3 linked regions of the Lepisosteus oculatus genome follow. The protein of the gene in region 3 interacts with the protein of the main gene of each other region in a biochemical or structural test. Links are inferred from orthologs where the notes say so. Each region holds a gene or a part of one and is shown on either strand. Other genes may lie near its edges.

Region 1 (7,143 bases), on a different chromosome or scaffold from region 3:
AGGCCAATCACAACCAATCACAACCTAAAACGATGAGTCAGCAACTCAGCCCATGGAACAGGATATTCACAGCAGCCAAGTTCTCAGTCCTAGTGTGGGCTTCCTCTCCACTGCTCCTTTTCTCTACCAGTGCCTGTTAGCAATCACAGCTGCCGATATTCTAGCCATTTTGTCAAAACCCTCAGCAGAATAGTATCACCTCTTTCCATTCTGTTTAAGATAAGATCACTTTATTAGCCATATACAATTTCTTGCATTAGGAATTTGTATTTTTGCATACCCCAGCTTGCTCTCCATGAGACACACAGATAGGAAAAGAATCTTGGGGTCAGAGCACAGGGTCTGTCATTTATACAGGGCCCCTGGAGCAGCTGGGGTTAAGGGCCTTGCTCAGGGGCCCAACGGAGTAGGATTCCTCTGGCAACCTTCCAGCCACAGACGCAGATTCTTAGCCACAGTGCCACGGCTCCACCCCATTAAGATGGCTGAAATCTTCACTCTGTTGTCAAACTCACCCTCATTCAGCGGTTATAAGGTCTGGCAGCCTGTGTGTATGTAATAATTATAATAGTAATTCCTTACGCTTATGTGGTACTTTTCTGGACACTCCACTCAAAGCGCTTTACAGGTAATGGGGATTCCCTTCTACCAGTCCAAAAGTGCAGCCCCCACCTGGATCATGCAACGGCAGCTATAGTGCGCCAGTACACTTACCACACATCAGCTATTAGTGGGGAGGAGAACAGAGTAATGAAGCCAATTCTTAGATGAGGATTATTAGGAGGCCATGATTGGTAAGGGCCAATGGGAAATTTTGCCAGGACACTGGCGTAACAGCCCTACTCTTTTTGAGAGACACCCTGGGATTGTTAATGACCACAGAGAGTCAGGACTTTGGTTTTATGTCTCATCCGGCACAGTATTGTGTCCCCATCACTATTTTACGCTGACGATACTCAAATATACATCCATACCAAACCCGACACTGATGTGGCTGTCTCTATTCTATCTAATTGCATCTCTGACATAAAAATTTGGATGACTCAAAACTTCCTTCATCTTAACTGTGACAAGACTGAAGTCATGCTTATTGGTACCCCCCATCAACTTCGTAAAGCCAGTCCTGTAACCCTGTCTGTAGATGGCTCTGTACTTGAGCTCCAATCAAAATTGAAAAACCTTGGGGTTATATTCGATTCTGGCTTAACATTCGACCCACATGTACAGCATACTGTCAAAACATCTTTTTTTCACCTTAGAAATATCGCAAGACTACGCCCTATGCTATCATTAACTGTGGCTGAAAAGCTAATCAACATATTTGTATTCTCTCGAATTGACTACTGCAATGCTCTGCTCCCTGGGGTATCTAAATCTACTCTGAACAAGCTGCAGTATGTCCAAAATTCAGCAGCCAGAATCCTGACCAGGTCTAGTGCAAGTGTTCACATTACTCCTATCCTGGAGTCCTTGCACTGGCTTCCGGTCAAATTCCGTGTAGACTTTAAAATCCTCATGCTCACCTACAAGGCTTTACATGGCCTGGCACCTCAATACCTGTCTGAACTTTTATCGCCCTACTCCCCACCTCGCAACCTCCGCTCTTCAAATTCTGCCCTCCTTACTGTCCCCCAAGCCCGTCTACATTGTATGGGCGACAGGGCCTTCTCCTGCTATGCCCCCAAGCTCTGGAACTCTTTGCCCAAGGATATTAGAGAGTCACCTTCTCTAAACTCCTTCAAATCCAGACTCAAAACCCTCCTTTTCAGAAAAGCCTTTACTTAACTGGTTCCATTCTTCACCCCTCTGCTCTTCTTAATACCATCTTCTACGGTCTCCTCTATTGTTACTGTTGTATTGTTGCAATCATAATTGTGTCCTGTCTTGTGAAATTTTCTTATTTATTGTTGTAGTCTTCTTATTTATTGTTATTGTCATCCTGTAAAGCGCTTTGAGAAGCCACCTTTAAAGGCGCTATATAAAATAAAGTTTATTATTATTATTATATTACTGGGGCATGAGGACCCACATGGACCGCAGGGTGAGTGTCACCTGCTGGCCCCACTAACACCTTTTTAGTTTTTCCCAGGAGGTCTCCCATCCAGGTACTGACCAGGCTCACACCTGCTGAGCTCCAGTGGGCTGCCAGCTGTGAGTTGTAGGATGATATTGTAACACTGTGTGTAAGAGCCGGCGTACCAGAGCAGGTGACGTCACCGCCCTTCCCTTGCCGCATCTGGTCGGCCCCATCCCGACTGGAGGCTCGAACCCGGGACTTCCGCATCTCTCTGCAGCGACCTAGCCCCGTGAGCTAATGAGAGATCTCTCCACAGCCCAGTAGCTGTGGTCCTGCTATCACAGGGAAGGGCGGTGACGTCACCCGCTCTGGTACGCCGGCTCTTACACACAGTGCTTGTCGGCCATAAGCGTTACACTATGTATGCTGGCGTGGTGGTTGTATTAGGGTGACTGTCACATCAGGGAACACCTGCAAAAGGCAAATGTTCTGAGTAACTCCCTGAGCAACTGAAACAATCAGAACATAGATTTTTCTTCCTTATATTGAGATTAAATTAACAATTGTATTAAAGTATTAGATTCAGAACTACAAAACTGTTGCAAGGGCAGCACAGTGGCACAGTGGTTAGCATCACTGCCTCACAGAACTGGGGCCCTGTTTTCAGTTCCTGGGATGCTATCTGCGTGGAGCTTCTATGTTCTCCTACTGTTTGCATGGCTTTCCTCCCATGGTTAAAAAGACCAACTGGTAGGTTAATTGGCTTCTGGGAAAATAAGCCCTGGTGTGAGTGTGTGTCCCATCCAGGGGGTACCTCATCTCATGCCTGTAGCTTGCCAATGTCGGCTCTGACACTCCAGGCTCCCCGTGACCCTGTTTTGGATTTGACAAGTAGTGGTGATTCCACACTAGAAGGAAAATGGGAAGAAACCCGGTAATTTGCCTGTGTTTCTAGTTGTGCAGGGAGTTGAGGGAGAGGGTAGGAATATGAGTGTAAGGCGTACAAATGAAAGTCATTGTAAGAATGAGTAAAGAGGCAAGTATAAACGCCGCAGCATATTAATGTACATACTGCAGTGCTTTTAAACAGATGCAAGTTTCTAGCGCCAGGAAGGGACTCCCAGGGGCAGAACCGGGCTCATTATTGAGCCACGCCCCTCATTTAAGCCTGAAATACTCAGAATCACCAACACAGGGAGCACTCAGACTCACGCATGGGAGGCTGGACCCCACGGATATTGAAGCAGCCAAGGCAGGCAGGGTGACAGTGTGACAGAAGGGAGCAACAAAGGAACAGCTCAGACAAAGAAATGCTACACAGCCGTGTACTGTCGATGGAGGCTTCCCATCATTCCCACAGAGCCAGTCCCAATATCCTGAGCTCCCTTTCCTAGCTCCTTGGACACTGTCCTGGCAGATGGCTCTACAATGTGTTGTGTACTTACTGTATACACTGGTGAATAAAACACAAGAAAGCTTAGAAATAATCAGGTCATTAGACCAGCTAATGTGCATTATCAGTAGCTAATTGATCCTAGCTGTTTTCATTGATTCAGCTGTTCCTTGAAAGAAGCCAGGACTCTAGCTTCAGCTACACGTACTGTTCCATACTCCTGCAGTCCTCTGTGTAGAGAAGAGCCTCCTGTTCTAAGCTTTAAATGCACTCATCCATAGATCCCACTTATGCCTGCTGGTTTATTTTTCACTTTCAGGCCTGAAGAAGTCAGGTTTATCTCTCTGTCAGTGCTTCGGGGGGGTTTTGAACACTGTTCTGAACACCCCTCCTAGTCTTCTCTGTTCAGCGTTGAAAAGATTCAGTTATTTTATTCTGGCAGTAGTAGTAGTAGGTTGTCCACAGAGATTGAAGGGGGTTGTCCAAAATGTTACTGTACAGGGAAAAAAATAAGTTAAACGTTCCTCTTCTGCCCCAGTTTACGTTGTTGTTTTTCTGTATAATGGTAAAAAAAGAGTTGTTGTTGTTTGTTTGTTTTTTTTAAATAAGAGAAATCCATTCCATTGCCCCACTTCTCAGGCAGTGATTTTCTCAGAAGCCGGGCGAATCGAAGGCGCGGTCGAGCCGCTCGGCGCTCGCTTGGCCGGGTCTGAGCCTGAGCGTCAACACGCTTCCAGTACGGGAGAGAGAGGTAAGAGCTATAGCTCTCTCGGCAGCGCAGGGGAGGGGGAAAAAAAACAACAACCCACAGCTCTCGGCAGCGCAACGAACAAAAAAAAAAAACACCAACTTGCGCAAGAAACAATCTAACAATTTTTTCACATCCGGCTGGGCTACGGCGAGGGGCCAATCTAAAACAGAAGCGAGCGGAGGAAACGGGCATTGCAACGGCCAGGGGGCGAGAGAGAGAGAGAGAGGAGAGGTGTTCACAACTGCAGGCTGGAAATCGCCGCTGAAACAAGCAAAGCAGAAGAAGAGAGAGGGAGAGAGACAAAAAAGAAAGAAAGACAGAAGCCTGGGAGGCAGAGACTGACAATAAGCCACACGCTCCCGACAAGTGGACCTGCTGCCCCGGAGAGGGGAGACGCCGTGTCTCTGCCTCGCACCCTGCTCGCTCGGTGCCACACTTTCTTCAACTTTTCCCCAGCCCGGCGACGAGGATGGAGACTTAAAAACTCATTTTTGGAGCCCAGCCGTCCGCGGTTGTTTTGTTTTTGTTTTGGAGGGGGGTGTGTGTGTGTGTGGGGGGGGAGGTTTGTCGAGCGTGTGCATTCAGCAGGACTGTGGCGGCGGAGCACCAGCGAGGTGGTGTAGTTCTTCCAAGTTGAAAGTTTTGGAGCTGAGCTTTTTGTTGTTTTTTTTTTTGTTTGTTCAGAGAGCAAGAGAGAGAGACAAAAAACCAAGAGTCCCAAGACAGACTGGGGGGAAGGATCCCTTTTCCACCCCTTTTATTCCCCCTCTCCCTCCCTTCCTTCCTTTTTCTCCTCTCTTTTGCATGCTCATATTTTATATATATATACACACACAACGAGAAACAACAAACGAAGGACCCGAAGAAAAAAAAAATCTATAAGAAAATCATGATGGCGGCGGAGGTCGGAAGCGAGGAGGCAGGTTCGGTTTCGGCCGGGACCGGGGTTTCTGCCGCCGGAGGCCCGGAGGCCCACTTTGCTTTCTTTGCCCAGCCGAGATTGCGGGTGAGTGAGTCGGCCCCAGGAGCAGCCCCGGCCCTCCTCCACCACCGCCCGCCCGACGGCCCCTCGGAGGTCGTCCTGTGCCCGGTGGCCGGCGCTGGGAGTGGCACCGGTGCCGGGCAGCCCTCGCCGTCTGGGGGCAGCTCGTCCGCGGGGGCCGGGGCGGCGGGTCCCCCCACCCCCGAGGCGCAGGGCATCCGGATGTCGCCGACGTCGGGGGGTCCGGACGGGCCCGCCGCCGCCTTCCCCCCTCTGCCGCCCCCTCCTCCGCCGCCCCCCGTCTGCGGGGGTCTGGGGACGGTGGACGAAAACGACATGCTGGACGGCGCGGAGTACGAGGAAGAGGAGGTCGCCTTCCCGCTGACCGCGCCGCCTACGAACCAGTAAGTTAGGGGGGATTTATTGAAAAAGTAAGATGATTTGAACAACCACCACCACCACCACAACAAACGGGGGAGAGAAAAGAAGTCGGTTGTGTGTTAACGAGAGGGCTCTCGGGAGAGATCCGAGCCGCGCTTAGCTGTGAAGTTTGATGGTACAACTTGTTGACAGCCAGCGGTTTGATGTGCGCTTCAAACTGCAGGGAGTAGCGCTGCAGCGCCGGATGCAAACAACCTCTCCATAAAAACTTTCTAAGCCTTGCTGCTGAATCAGCGCCCTGTCGCAGACAGCCGATACAAATCCTTTCACCTCGGTAGAACAGGGCCTTTTTTACTGTCTAAAACATTGGAGTTTGAAGAATCGGCCTGTCTTCAGACGCAACACTGAGACACCTGCAGAGCGACGCTTTCCTGTTGTACTGTCCATTTACAGTGCAGTTACCTCAGACTAAAGAAAACTTCATCGCCAGGACGAGAGTTTCTTGCCTTAACACAGTATGCTCGCTCTGCAAGGGTCTGGTCCATTCCGAGGGACAGGAAATGTCGTGAGCTGGTTAATTGAGCAGGGAGAGAGAGAGAGATTGTGCTTAAAAAAAAAAGTAACTCGATTCAGTAGGACTAAATTAAACGCTCTTGTAGTTTTCATTTGCTGTGGAGTTAATCCTGAGCCAATTTTGGTGAACACCCACAACGCCTGCAGCTCTGTATAGTGCCACAGAACGGTTTATCTGGTTCCTTAGGTTTTGGTGATGGATATGTATGTGTGCATACAGATGGGTATATACCTTGATCGCATATTAAAATGAACAAGAAGTTGCAGGTAAGGAGAGAAAGAAAGTGGTTCAAAATTGAAAAGTGAATTTACAGTCGTGTGGGTTTTGAGAGCTGCAAACCATGAGACTCACGATTGGAAGGCGAGAAAAAAAAATGCTTTCAGGTTTTCACGTGCGGGCACTAACCACCTGTTAACAGCAGTGAGCTTCGGCTCTGTCAAGTTACACACGAGTAAAGGCTGCTGTTCCCTCTCACTGAACTACTGCAAAGGAAGTGTTGTCAACTGCAAGGTGTGATATCGTTTAGCTCTAGTGCCACGTTTACGCCAGATTTAAAGAAAAATGAATTTACTTTAGTGCCATATACACAAGCGATAGGGGAATGAAAATATTTAGACGTGCTCAGACACGAGGATGAGGCCTTGTTAAGGAAAAGGTTCTGGAGCACAGATTCGCACCCTTACTAATGTGTCTTGCTCAGGGGTGCATGGAAGCCACACAACAGCCAGGATGCAAAAATCCCCACGTTCAGGTATTGTACTTTTATAAAATGGCCAGCATTAGTTAAATCAGTATTTTCCAGTAGGTTTATATAAAACAAGCATTAACATGATCCTGGAAATGCACAACTTCAAGAAATTTGAATGTTATTTGTGGCATAGAATTCTTTGGAAAAATGTCAGCCCTTGTCCTGGTGTTGCAGTGCACAGACTTTACTGGTAGCCAAAAAACGTCCTTCCTTGGCTTTACCTTACTAACCTAAATGCCTCCGGTCTGAAACTGAATTAATACGAGTCTGGTTTGTATGTTTAAATGGATCCTTTTT
Region 2 (7,260 bases), on a different chromosome or scaffold from region 3:
ATTTGAAGACTCAAAATGATGTACAATCAGTACTAAAAAACACTTTCCATTGTATTTCCACAGTTTTTCTTTATCTGGAATAAATGTGATGCTTGAGAAGAAGTGCTGAAAGAAATAGCTTAACAAAACTTTATTTTGGGTTTTACTGCTGCACCTTCCTTTTTCTGTGAATACTATTTACTTCTCCCTACATTGCAGCTCAATGCTGTACTTTTAAATTGCAATAAAAGTACAATGTATGCTACTTTAATGATATATTTTTCTCATTAATTTCTTGAGGACAGTATTAACATCATAAGAATAAAAAAAATATTTCAATGTTTTCAGAATGCTGCCATTTAATTTGACATGCAAAATACAAGAGAACAGTGTTTATTTACGGTACCTTGCTCGTCCACCCTGTGGTTTTCACCTTAACTGGAAACAAAAACTCTAAAGCCTTTACATACAGGCATGCAAATTCATACAACTGTGTTCAGAAACCTAAAGTCAAGCTATAAACAGATCAGTCTAAGGAAGTCAGCTTTAGGCATGAAAAGTTTGCTTCCAGTTTCTTAATCATTAACAAAAGTGTTTTTATCCCCTTGCAATCAGCAGTGTGTGTCTATTATAATCGTGAGGTCCAGCAATTAATGTGTTAGGGTTAGTCCAATGGAAGCCATTTTTTAATTAAGCAAAAACACACAAATGACATGTTGTGAACCTGATTCTACAGCATGCATACAATTTCAGAATCATTCTTCCCTGATTACTTTTAAGAGACAAATACTTTGCTAGTTCTCACTGGTAACTCACATGAAAGCTATTTGGAAATAAAATCACATAAAATAAATGTGAAAATAAAATGGCAGCCCTTACATTGTTATTTAGGGGTTTTCTGATTATTAATTTACCCGTGGTTAGTTTAATTAGCTCAATGGTTAAACAGCAATTATTTAAAACTAGCAACAATTTATTTTCAAAGGCATGCTATATTTCATGTATGTAAATTCATACTGCTACTGTACACATGAATGGAAATAAAGACACAATGGTGAACTTATGGGAGTAACATCATAAAATGAGACAAAATGAATAAGAGCACTGTATTGACAATACTGTACTGTAGGTCTTGGACTTACTGCAGGAAACTCAAACTCTTAGATTAAAGATTCTCTGTTTTGCATGACAACATCACTACAACTATTAGATGCCAAATTTCTAGGGAGATAATTTAATTTAATACACGGAGCATTAAAACTTGCCTTTTGAATGTTTGGTTTAAAAATGTACAAAAATAAACTGAAAAATATTAATCACTAAAATCCTTCTGTTTATGTAGAGTTCCTGCACTGTATGAAATGTCATCATGGCAGTAGAATTCAGGATTTATATTATTTGTTAATTAACAGGAATTTAAATAGGACTAAATATCCCCTTTGTTACATTTTTCCATATATTTCTTTTCTTTCTGTATAATTATTAAAATACATTTTTTATTAATTTTATTGTACCTAGGCAGGACCTGTGCTAACCCAACTCCCCTCATGGGATATAACTCAACACTTGTTAATGTATTGTAAAAAAATAGTACTGTACTTGCAAACTTTAGTACAATTATATTTTTTCTTGATGTAAATTTCAAGGTTAAGCATACAGTACAGGTACTTCTGTCTGTAAACATATGAATCAAATAAAGCATTATCTTAAATCAATAAATCATACGAGCTAAGTGAACATAATGTTGTTCAACACTGCCATAACAGTGCCCTAAAGTGCATTTAAAAGTACATTTGAAAAAAAAAATAAAGTACTTTATATGCTTCATATATGTTTAAATATACTACCTTCCATGTTATTGCTAAGGACTAATATTAGTATTTCACAGTTTGTGTTAATCAGAAATGGGTGGGATGGTTTAGAAGAAGTGCTAAAAAGAAATGTTTGACTGCGAAAACATTATTTTCCACTTTCCAACTATTCTGCCTTCCTTTCTCTGTGAATACTAGTTCCCTTTCTCTGTATTACAGGACAAACATCCTAAAAATATTGTGTTCAAAAAACGCAAAAGCAACTCCAATGTGCAGCATTGGACTCCATTTCAATAATACATTTACACTACGTTCACTGTAATTTACAAGAAAGCTGACTATATACAGAATGCAACTTTAAATTAAATGTAAAAGATCAGTTACTTTAAAATGTGTTTAAAAGATATGAGCTTAACATATTAAAACTTGAGTTTACTTGACACACACAAAATTATCCTGTCTGAAAAAATAATATGTACTGTAGATAACCTAAATGTAATTTTAGGTTTAATAGTCCTGGTCATTTTTGTTAATTTAATAGAAAATAAAAAGAAAACGGTCACTGCTTCTGGCGCTTGCTTCGAAACATTAGAAATTAAAGAAGTCAAAAGAAAAATATATTTTACTATTAATAACGACGTACAAAGAGCCTCTACATATATATCATACAGTATGTATACAACACTATCATTAAATCATATCGAGATTCACTTGAGCTCTCACACAGTCAATTAAATAAAACAAATAGTGGAAAATTGCTCAGGTGCCTTTCATTTTTCTTTTGATCCAAAGTATTTCATTTACAGTGTGGCTAGCACTTTACTTTTTCATAAACTCTCTTTCAAAAAATAAAATCCCACAACATTAATTCATCCATACATTCAGTAGTCAATCAATAAGCAAAAACGTTACCTTTCACGTAGGTCCAAAACCTTTTCTAGCTGTCTCTGTGCTCGGAGAAAGAAGCAACCATATTCAACTGCTTGTGAAGTGAACAGGATGTGGTCTGGCTCTTCTTGGATATTTTGAAGTGATCACTCTGGAAGAATTTGTATCAGGAGGTGACATGAGTTTAGAAAATTGATCAACAGCAAATTGGAACTTTAACTTGACAATAAATTCTATATATATTTAACGCAATGTATTACTAATGTGTGTTACATTAAAGAGGTTACAAGACTTGAGTTTTTTGCAGAGGCCAGAGTACAATGTGGAAGTGTAATTTAGCTTCCCCTTTTTAACAGCTTGCAGCTACTTCCTTGACTTTTTTTTCTAGAATATGACTTCCCCTTTTGTCCAAAGTCTGTCTTGATTTAAAACATCAATATATGTATGTACTGTATGGTATGTAGATAGATGTATATGTGTCCATGTCGGAATGAATTTTTTTAAAAAATGTGGTTCAGGCATGCCTGTTCAATCATACAGAAAACAGGGCTTTAAAAGTATTGTAAAAAAGACAAACTACTATGCTGACAAACTCCTGTACAGTATGTGAGGATAATATTTGCAGTTTACTGTATGTACAGTATAGCAAATACCGTTATGCAATATAATACATTGAGTGAAGTAATATGATAGTTTGCTTAGACCTGGTAATGAAAATATTCTTACTGTATGATATTTTCTTACTGATAGGAAAATATATACAATATCTGGGTATCTTTGCATACATAATATCTACACTGTATGTTTGGGTTACAAACAACTACTATTACTGTAAGAAGTAATTCTTATTTACTACTACTGCAGAGTAAATAAATACAAGGCTTGTATTCAAACTATAAAGAAAGGCTTTAAGAGTTTCATCAATGCAATATAATGGGCACAGCAAAATTCACAATTTTGTAACTATTAACATTTTTCACTTTTCTTTTCATTTAAAAAAGTGTACATTTGAAAAATGAGTCATATGTAATATAAACTAATTTTTAAAAACTTTAACTTGACAATCAATCACTTGGTTATTGCATTCTAATACAATAGTATTAGAAATTTAGAAATTAACAACACAGGTTAGAAATTAACAGCATTGATATGGAATCAATCAATCAGACAGGCAGTCAGTCTGTGAATCTTTCAAATTGCAGTGAGCATAACAAATCTCTTGAAAAAAAGAGCGAAGAGACTTTGAACCAGTCAATTTAGTTTTTAGTAAAGATCAGAAAAGGTCTTGGTCTAAGCTGATGCTTGGAACCATATTTATAACATACAGTTGTACTATATAACATAAAAAAACAGAAATATGTGTGGAATCCATTTCATAATTAGAACGTCGTGGAAACATAAAGACATTTTTAATGAATTTATTTTAAACAGCCTTCTTTGACACTCAAAACTGACATCTAGTGGTTGTTCTTGGTTTATACAAACAGCACATCCCTCCTTCAATTTTCTAACAGCTTTATCCAATTCAAGAGTTGTAGAGGGTCCAGAGCCTATCCTGGTAAACAGCGGGCAAAGTAGGATGCAGGATACACCCTGGATGGGACACCAGTCCATTACAGGGTACACACAGACAGAAACACACACACTTACAGTATAACACAGCCCATTTTCCCAGAAACCAATGAATTTACCATTATATTTTTGGATTGTGGGAGGAAACCAGAGCAGCCAGAAGTAGCCCACATGAAGGGAGAACTTACTGTACAAACTCCATGCAGATAGCACCCTAGGTCTGTAAGTGAACTTGAGGCTCCAGTGTTGAAAGGCTGCAATGTTAACCACTGTAGCCACCATGCTTCCCACATAGACTACAATTATTTTTTAACACTATTTTTATTAATAGTGTATGATATAATTTTTCAAAGAGCTTGAAAGAGTACAATGTAAAATCTCACCTTTTCAGTTTATAAATAAATCTGTCCTTTATCTGTCCTTTAAGTTATGTGTTCAGCTCTTCCCATTTTTTCATTTTGGCGTATCTTTGGTCTGGATTAAATCAGAACTTCAGCCCACCTTCCAATGACAGAATTACAAACCCCTTACTCAATGGTGGGGTACAAAAGGAGGAGAAGGAGTAAGTATTCGTAAAACTCACAATATTACACTAGGTCTGTGTAGTTTCGTTGACAGGCAAGTTGAAGTTTTTATTTCATCCAGGTTTTACATATAAATTAACACGGAATTGCTTCAGGCTTGTGTCCAAACCACAGGTGAGAGAACAAGGACTACATAAAGCTCGTTTTAAAGATATGTGTTTTTTTAAACAAATGACCATGGTGTGGGAACTACCATTATGTGGTGTTGTTATTTTTCAAAATAACAAGCATGCACATGGAAGAGCTACCCGGTATCACTGGCAGTGTTATACTGAAATGTTTCTGTAAGAAGAGTTGGGCTGTAAGGCTCACTGCAAGGCTCCCGCAAGCTAGACCCTGGTCTAGAAAAATATTCAGACAGTAAGCTGGCTAAGCCTTGGTCCACATCTGTATCCTAGATTCAGATCTTAGCTGAAAAAAGTCCAGAAGAGCCAGTAACCATAAACCAGTCACATCTGATTGTATTTAAGACTTATGACAGCTAAACGCTAGGATATAACCCTGACTTTACAAGCAGAGAACTTAAACTAACGCAGACCAGCTCCTAACTTAAAGACAACAGAGGGACACCACTTTTCCATGAGGTACAATACATTAAGAAATGTGAGCAAAGTTCGACTCCTCTCCTTCCTCTCCTCATCATCCACCCCACTCCCCACCTTTTTCCTCCTCTTTCCCCCTTTCTATCCCACTGTCCTCATAGGACACCTCCACAGTTACTGACACTCACTGTGCCCCATGGGTTCATCAGTATTAGTCTCAGCTGGGCATGGCCTCCTCACTCATACATTTTGCCGACCCCCTACTCACTACATCCATTCAGTATAGTGTCGGCCCCCAACTTTAATTCCACCCCCAAGCATCTATCTAAAAATGGTGAAAAATATTTTTTAAGGTCATACTTTGCTCACTAAAATAAACATGTTAAATGAAAAACAGTTTTCTTCCAATCCCAAAAGAAACACTGATGTAGGACTCCCTTCTCCAGATTCCAGATGCCAGGATGTAGGTTGTCAGTTTTGATGACATCTGCTAAAAATCTGCTACACAAGCTAGTGAACATCAGTCCACTTCTGCAACCTGTTTGTTTTTCCCTGAGTCTAGTTGGAGTTGTTTCTTCATTGTTTCAGTAGCTTTGAAAAATTTGGAGCACCTTTGGCTAGGCCTTTTGGTATTCCACTTTCAGATTTAAAGACATGTCTGCCTATAACTACAATACAGTATGTCCATATACAGGTAAAGGCTAGATGATTTTGTAGCATTCTAAGTACCAACTTGCACTGATGTTTTTCCATTTATATTTGAGCCAATTAATCATTATTGTTCTGACCTGTAATAATGTATGCTTATGCTAGCAACTATTTTTAAATTTACTATTTTTAGTCAACCTCTCCAGAGTTATAATGTTCTTTGTACTGTTCATACTGAGACTGTAAATGGCTTAAGACTGCAGATGAAAGCATGGTGTTGTTCCAAAGTCCCAGCAGATGGCAGACTCTGCCTATCAGACTTCTCACGAAGCTCACTGTAAACTCATCGTGCTTTTCTTCTTCTAGTCTGTGTGTGTAAAAACTAGAACAAAGAACACTTTGAAATAAAGAGAGATTAAGGCAACATAATTACAACTGTTTCTTTCACTATTTAATTTTATGCTAAATCTTAAATTGTACTTGTATGTGCTATGTGGAAATTAGATCCAGTATATTTACATGTTGCCTTGCAACCAAAAGCATTTGCTTTTCTGTAAAATGAAAACATACTGTACTGTATCGCATGGTTAATCAAGCAACATAACTTTTCCTGTCAATAAACGTGAGTTTCAGCAAGAGCTAGCTGTCTCAAAACTTAAGAACATCCGATAAATTACAAATAAAAGTGGGCCATTAGGCCAGTCTTGCTCATTTGATTTTTCAGTAACAAAATGACACACAGCTATATCCTGATTGAAGCCTGAGAAGCAGCTTCAACCATCATACTGTAGCTTGCCAGTTTGTACTGTACTCCTTCAAGTTCCTCCTCTCTTCTTAGTTTTTAATGCACTTTGTTATGGTTTGCACTTGTGTTCTCTGACTCTTGTCCCATTTCCATAAAAAAGAAATTATTCACTCCAATACAAAGAAATGTACTAGTATAACATTTTAGTTAATGGAACATCTTCAGGTCAAGTGCAGGTCAGGACAATTATTCTATAGCCAGAAAGAGGATGAATGCTGTCAAAGCAGAATAGACTGCAGAGCTAGTAAGTTGCCTCTGTATTTTAATTAAACAGCTTTACTTTCCCATATGAAAAAGGATTTCTTTTTTAGAAACCTAAAAAAACAGAGTCTGGGGGCCTGTGACATTTGTGTTCATGAAACAAGGCTCACTGCTAACCAAAAAGTAGATAGAGAATATTGGAATAGCAAAATGCCAACATAGATTAAGAA
Region 3 (7,033 bases):
CTGTGCCCAGCTCTAGGGCTGTACAGGCACCTGCACAGGTGGACTGTGTTTCTGAAGCATGTCAATCTTGCACAACCTGAAGGGATTTCTTCCTGGGATCGAAGGGGTGGTTTAAACTCTTTCTGCATCCTCACAGATGAGGTGTAACTGATTTCCCTTATTTCTAAATGCCTTCTTCCAAAACCCCCCTGTCCATTTTATTTGTCCTTTGCCCCTTGAAAGAGCTGTTAGGTCACTCGTTTTACCTTTAAGGAAATATAGTTTTAGAAATTAAAATACATTTTTAGCCCATGCTGCGATTCTTTATGGGATGGATGGGTGTCTTGATGTGCATCAGAAAATATGGATTTTTGTAGGGTCGGTCACCCGGGGGAACTCTGGGTATTCATCCTGGGGTAAAGCTTTTCATAACTCCTACAGTATGAGATGCTTTTTCCTATTATGTGCCTGAAAATGTGCACGTTTCCTGTGGCAGATCGAGCCAGAGTGCAGGGGATTCATAGGAGTGAGTTATGCAAAATGTAATAAAGCAGTTTTATCATTTGCATTGTGTTTCTGAATATATTATGATAGCCAGAGATTCTCAAGGTTTCCTGTTATTAATGCTTCTGCTTCGCTACACGCTCATCCATTAAACAGGCTCTGACTCTCCCGCTGAAATTATAAACATCCACCTTCACAGAGCTGGCTTATAAACTACAGTAATTCTGTGTAGTTAATTTTTGTATTCTGAAAATATACAATGTTTAATTGACGGTTTGAGAGAGGTACGGTCTAAGCAGCACTCTATTAAAAAGCTATTGCGCTAAAATTAAATTTGTTATTACGTTAATCAAGTCTGGACACGTGGGGTGCACTTACTAAAACCCTATTAAATATGACTTCTTCCTTTGATATTTTGATAATCACCCACACGTTACATTATTAAAAGCACATTAAATTAAACATTTAATGTGTCTTAATAATAAAAGGCCAGTATCCGAATCATCATAGTTTTCAACACGGTATGAAATCTGCATCGTCCTTTACTCTTTTCTTGACCCCAGAGGTACTCAAAGGCTCCCCCGTCTGGATTAGGGACGGCATTACAACAACGCGATCTGACTGCAAGTTTTAATAGCTGCGGAGGGCGTTTCATTTGACACACAAGTACACGCACACATGGCCTTCGAATGTCAGACAGGACCCTAAAAAAATCTACCTCTTTTGGCTGCCAGGCCAGTGGGTCACTTTGATGAGAGTAATTTTACCCTTCAATGTGTAACCTCTTCCTCCTCCTTTCTAAATAATAAATATAATTAAAATAATTACACGTTGAAAGTACACCAGCAGACGGCAGTGGGTTTGAAAAGCACGGGATAACAGAACAATGCTCTCTTATTTTAAACACAAAACTGTTTAATTAAAAACCGAACTGAAAACTAAAGAAAACTAAATTATCTATATTATAAATAGTAGACCCACATTCCAGCGCTGAACAAAACATTAGTTCAAATATGAGTTACCACCCTCAGAACAGTCGGCAGGAACCCTTGCATGCAAATCTATAATATTTTCTGGTGTTAGAGCAAATAATCTAACTACACAAACAAAACAAAAAAAAAACATTAACATCTGTGCCCAAGTGATTAGTAAGTATTTTCCAGCCAGCACTAGCCTGGCTGAAGCACAAATGTTGCTAAATTGAAATGATAACTCAAGTCAAGTCTCACTGTTCACTCTCGCGGTGTAAAGTACTGCACCGTGACTGTCCACACAGCACATTGTTCTTTAAGGTACAAAATCTTTTATTTTTGTTTAAAGGCAATTCCAGTCATAGTGCGAAACACAAACTTAGACAATGATGGATAATGTTATTTCCTCCCTGAAGCTGAGGTTGTTTTTTTTAATTATAATTCCAAGAATAAGAAGATACGAATACAAGAAAGACTGCAAATGAGAGGAGGTAGGTAGCATCTGATCTAGGGATCTCACAAATTCCACAATATTATAATCATCATCATCATCATCTTTTGAGAGTCTATGTCTTTGTGCCCTGTGATAGTCTAGGGTGTATGCTGCTTTGTGCCAGTTGCTTGCCAGAATAATAGTAATCCTTAGATTTATATAGTGCCTTTCCAGACACTGCACTCAATCATCATATCATCATCACCTTCATCACAGACCCCATGTGAAGTTCATCCACAAGCGAAGTGTAGCCCTCACCAAGCAGGACACTGGGAGTGCCACAGCACTGTAGTGGGAACTCTGCTGACCACATAGCCAGACACTCAGCTGAACATCTCATCCAAGGGACAGCATCTCCTACAGCACAATGTCCCTGGTTTACATTTCTGGGGACCAGAATTTGAATTGGACATTCGAATCCAAACAGAAGAACACCACCTAATGTTCCACACACAAAAACACACACTTGCAGCAATTGAAACTAGAAGGTTAAAAGTTTATTTAAAATCTCGTATTGGTATTTTACATATTTATTTTGCCTTTCATGAACAACAGTTACAGGTCCCCCAGCTGAATACTGACCAGGTTCAGCCTTACTTACAGTACCTTCTAACATCTGAAAAGAGTTGTTTTTTAGATGTTTTACTAATATTTTGATTTCAACACAAATGAGATTTTTAAGAATGCTAAGAAATGCAACTAGTGTAAAAAGAAAGAGACTTAATTTACCTTCTTCTTTGGAATCTTTATAATAAAAGTTCATCTGCTACATACTGTATGCTCTGTATTTATTACATGTATCTAACGATATGTTTCTGAGCATGATTTATGCATATGCAGCAGAAACATGCAACTGCTTGTGCTAAATTTTCTGAAATGCAAACAAACTGTCTTCTCATGCTGAATGTCTTCTGTAAGTCATTTTAGGATTATCGTGGATGTTAACACTCATGATACTGCAGAGGGTTAGGCCAGCCAAAAGGCAGAGTTTGGGCCAGATGTTCCAGCATATTGTGATTCAAAGCTGTGTGTATCCCCCTGGCAGGGACTGAATGGCAGGTGATGGTGAGAATTATTGGGAAGACAAGTTTCTGGGATTTTAAGGACACAAGTGAGCCTAATGCCAGTGGCTTATCTTTTGTGGTTTCTTCCACTAAATCTTTTTCATGTTTCTGAAGAGAGGAACCTGGAATCACTTACTAGTGGTCTGAACAACTTACCAACAAAGGACACAACACAAAAACAATTGGAGAGTGACACCAATTGGACTTCCTGTACACACGCAGATACACCGTGCATAATAAATGCGAAATCAGCAGGACTTGCCTTGTAGGAATATAAGAGAAGTACAAAAGAAGCACTTTTGTAAAGAATTATAAGTAATATAAAAGAATCGTAAGTGGGTTTAAAAATCCACCTGTGTACTTAGTGTCATATACGAACTATTATGGAAAATTGCGTTTGGCTTGATTACAGCCGTCAGTATAAATAGTTTAATTTAAATTTGTTCTAAATAGTCCACCGTGCTCGTTGTTTCACTTTTGCAATCAATTTCTAATAACTGTTACACGTAGGACTCTTACTTTAGTATGGCTTATGATATCTTAACCCATAAAGGTGTTCTTTGAAATCGTCCTTCTTCCGTGATAAGACAACGTTTTTTTGTTTAATCTATTACTGTATTTATCAGAAAGTTTTTTAAAGGTCAAATAATGCGCTTCTTAAATGCTACGTTCCGATTATTCCAAGTCTGGGAAACAAAATTTTATCTCTGATAATAGTATTATTAGAAAACACTACCAGGTTGACGCCAGAGAACCCAAGAAAATACCACATTAAATCGCGCCGACAGTTGCGCGTTCACCTGACTCGGTTCTGCCTTTGAGACAGGTGTTTGCGCTGAATAAAACAGCAATTTTTGGGAAGGCCTGAAGACCCAATGGGAGCGCAGGAAGGCGTGGTTAAAGGCGGGGACCAATTGTACCGGCCGCCTTTGGAGCCAATGCACCGGGCGATGGGCGGGGAAACTCCCTCAGGGGGGCGTGTCTCCAGCTTTCGAGCGGACGCTGTGTGCTGAACTCTGCAGAGAGTAATGGCATGAGCTTAGCACTGCAATCAGGGCAAGCTACTGTATACCACGCTGTGGAAAGTACATTACTACTGTGCGAACTTCGGCAAATCTTTTCAAGGCACAAACAGGACTAAGACACACCTGGAGGAGACATATTTACGTTTCAAACCGTGCATCGAAACCCTGTCATCAGCTCAAGATTTCTTTTGTCCATTAAAAAATAAATAAATAAACGGGATATGTTGCTGGACATGTGAATTTAAGGAGTAACTGCTACCCCCCAAAAAAATGAAGCCAACCACTCTGTACTGCTTCGGCTTGCTGTTCAGTTTTGTGATCGTCAGGATCAGCTCATCGCAGTCAGGTGGGTAGGATATATTTGTTCTCGTATCGTGCGCAAGGTGTATTGTTAAATGTCATGCTCCAGCGTGTGTTGTTATTGGGCTGTGAGGTACTGTTGTTTCTCACTAGTCGGGCTAGTAGTTTCTGCGCCGTGTGGACTCTACAGTTGCTGGTAACGCTGGTCACAGTCTATTTCTCACAATCGCCAAATGTGTGATATTGTACATTGTGGACCACAAGTTATGAACGGAATGACAGTCAGTAAATGAGAGCAGGAATGTGTTGTTTTTAAGGCTCTTTCGGCTCCGACACTCCTCTTTCACTACGATGTCGATCTTGATACTGTTTATGCTGTACCTGTTTTTGAGAGACTGCGGGGTTGTGCTATCGCGCCTTGATTATTAGGGGTATGTTAAAGTGCGTCTCGGAGACTCAAGAGAATCAGGATTTTTGGTTTTTTAGAGAATTGGACATGGAGTTCACGCCGCACGTGTCCCGGACACACCGGAGAACTATTGTCCACTCACTCACGTTTTCCCACCGTGTTTTTTCGTCCCTTGAGCAAAAAGAGGCTTAACCAGTTCGTTTGTGTTTCTTCCCGCTGCCTTCTTGAGCGATTGCACCTGACCTACCGCCTTTCCCGTCGTCAGTGATTTAAAAAATGCCAGCAATTTAAGAAGGACGAATGGAGGTGCTATAAATACGCGATTTTAATAATCGATGCGGTGTTGACGATTTAAATATCTGCGGACTACTATCAGCATCCTTAACGCCGTTTGGTGTTTTACTAGAATTTAGATATTCTTCACATTGTATGGCATCTTCAGATGTTGTTCGTTGTCATATGGTTAATCTGCGTAATGAAACGTAAACATGTATAAAGAACATCTAATTAGTCGTTAACGCCAGTTATTATTATTAATAATTATTAGCTCATAGCTGTCTCGCGTTTCGATTGACGAAGCTATAGTTCCCGTTCAAAGACACCGAGCCTCGACTTGCGCATCTGAAACATTATTTACAGAGCACAACAAAAACTTCTTCGTTCTTTGGGTGTTCAATGGTGTTTATGAGAAGTAAATAAACTAAATTTCGGAAGTAATGTGGCAGTCTGTTCATAACATAATGAACAGATTGGGAAACATTCGAAGTACCCACACAGGACCTGTAACATGCGAGTAATAACTACTGTACATTTTTTTAAATAAATTAGCAAGTAATCGACTAATTAGCACTCATTACTAATTACTCATTTAATGGTTTTGCACCTGAGTGGTGACATATAGTATCTTACGCGTCTCCAAACGTTTGGGATCACAAAGGGTTTTGATACCTTGTTCTGTATTTTCTTTACTGTAGTCTCTGTAGGCACAATAAAATGCACCGTCTGTGCCATATGAAACAGAATTTGGCTGACTGTTAGCTTGGTCTATTGGAGGACCGGGCATTATTACGCTGCAAGAGATCGGGCTGTGCTGTTTAAACAAGTTGAGATATAGTTTTGATTGCTTGGGAGAAACAACCGCATCTCCACACGGTGGTGGTATGATCCGGAGACTCGCAGTCCTTTCGCGCTGTGTACAATCTGAACTCTGCAGCCTGTGGCGTCTCTTGTCTTATACTGTATGTTTCGCAGCTGATAGGATTCAGGCTAAAGGGCAGCCGAGCCTCGCTGAGAGTCATAGGTGTGTGTTTCCCTTGAGATCGTGCGCCGGAGGGTTATTCGCGAATGTGTGTAACTGCAAGGTGTGGAAATCTTGCGTGGGTCAGAAAGTGGAGAAGTTTCAGGTTCTAGCGAAAAGTGCGTCTTACTCACTTCTCAGACAGTGGCATATACCTGTTCATAATTCTCCCTTATACTCATCTATCTACATTATTATGCAAAGGTGTACTGTATATCTGTATTCAAAACATTCCTCGGAGAACTTCTAGAAAGGAGTTCTTCAATACTTCAGTGAGATTTTGCATCCGTTTACTGTACGTTCAATATTACGAGTTAGCGTTCCGTTGTCTCAAGAATTGTTTAATGAAAAGTAGGCGAGGCGTTCTCCTTTTAATTAAATGGCAGTTCTGCTGTTTCACCCCCTCACGAAAAACAAATCCTCACATTAAGCGAACGTCCTTTTAAAGCGTACTGAACTCTAGAAATGGGTTACAAACGTTGTTAATGATAATAGTGATACTATACTTTTAGCCAAGGACATATTCTGCACGTGTACAATTGGAGCCTTGGTACGTGGTTCATTAGAAATCTCTCCCAAGTCCGCAGCAGGCTCTTTCGGTGTTGTGACTGTCCCTGGACTAAACAGGACTTCACTGTCATAAAGGACATGAGATGACGGGTAACACATTTACAAGTGCCCTTTCGTCTTCTTTATTAATGTTCAGTTCATAAACTGAAACACAGATAATCTTCGGGATTCCCTGAATTGCTTCTAACTTTATGATTACATTATGATGGGTACTGTTTTAGTAGTGACAGGAAAAATCCATAGACTCAGACGTCTGGGTCTTTCCTTACGTTGATTTAATGCGTTCAAGGCACATCACCCCAGGTCTGGCACGTCTTCGCTGGCTCCCCATCACACACCGCATTCGGTTCAAATGTTTACTCTTAACTTATTAAGCCCTACACACCGAATGCCTGCATTGCTTAGCATCTCTCGTTACTCC

What was found.
Region 1: the proteins of receptor tyrosine-protein kinase erbB-4 (region 3) and ras GTPase-activating protein 1 form a complex in vitro, tested with the Homo sapiens proteins (2 studies listed by BioGRID and IntAct, with this or other methods). The link is inferred for Lepisosteus oculatus from reciprocal best matches to the Homo sapiens genes ERBB4 and RASA1.
Region 2: the proteins of receptor tyrosine-protein kinase erbB-4 (region 3) and syk form a complex in vitro, tested with the Homo sapiens proteins (2 studies listed by BioGRID and IntAct, with this or other methods). The link is inferred for Lepisosteus oculatus from reciprocal best matches to the Homo sapiens genes ERBB4 and SYK.

What each region holds. Positions count from the first base shown.
Region 1 is NC_090698.1:71,891,549-71,898,691, forward strand, and holds the start of ras GTPase-activating protein 1, read left to right. Parts: upstream 1-4,127; 5' UTR 4,128-5,050; coding exon 5,051-5,547; intron 5,548-7,143. UniProt on the Homo sapiens protein: Inhibitory regulator of the Ras-cyclic AMP pathway. Stimulates the GTPase of normal but not oncogenic Ras p21; this stimulation may be further increased in the presence of NCK1.
Region 2 is NC_090698.1:49,714,282-49,721,541, reverse strand, and holds the start of syk (tyrosine-protein kinase SYK), read right to left. Parts: upstream 3,017-7,260; 5' UTR 2,703-3,016; intron 1-2,702. UniProt on the Homo sapiens protein: Non-receptor tyrosine kinase which mediates signal transduction downstream of a variety of transmembrane receptors including classical immunoreceptors like the B-cell receptor (BCR).
Region 3 is NC_090707.1:8,562,947-8,569,979, forward strand, and holds the start of receptor tyrosine-protein kinase erbB-4, read left to right. Parts: upstream 1-4,025; 5' UTR 4,026-4,306; coding exon 4,307-4,382; intron 4,383-7,033. UniProt on the Homo sapiens protein: Tyrosine-protein kinase that plays an essential role as cell surface receptor for neuregulins and EGF family members and regulates development of the heart, the central nervous system and the mammary gland, gene transcription, cell proliferation, differentiation, migration and apoptosis.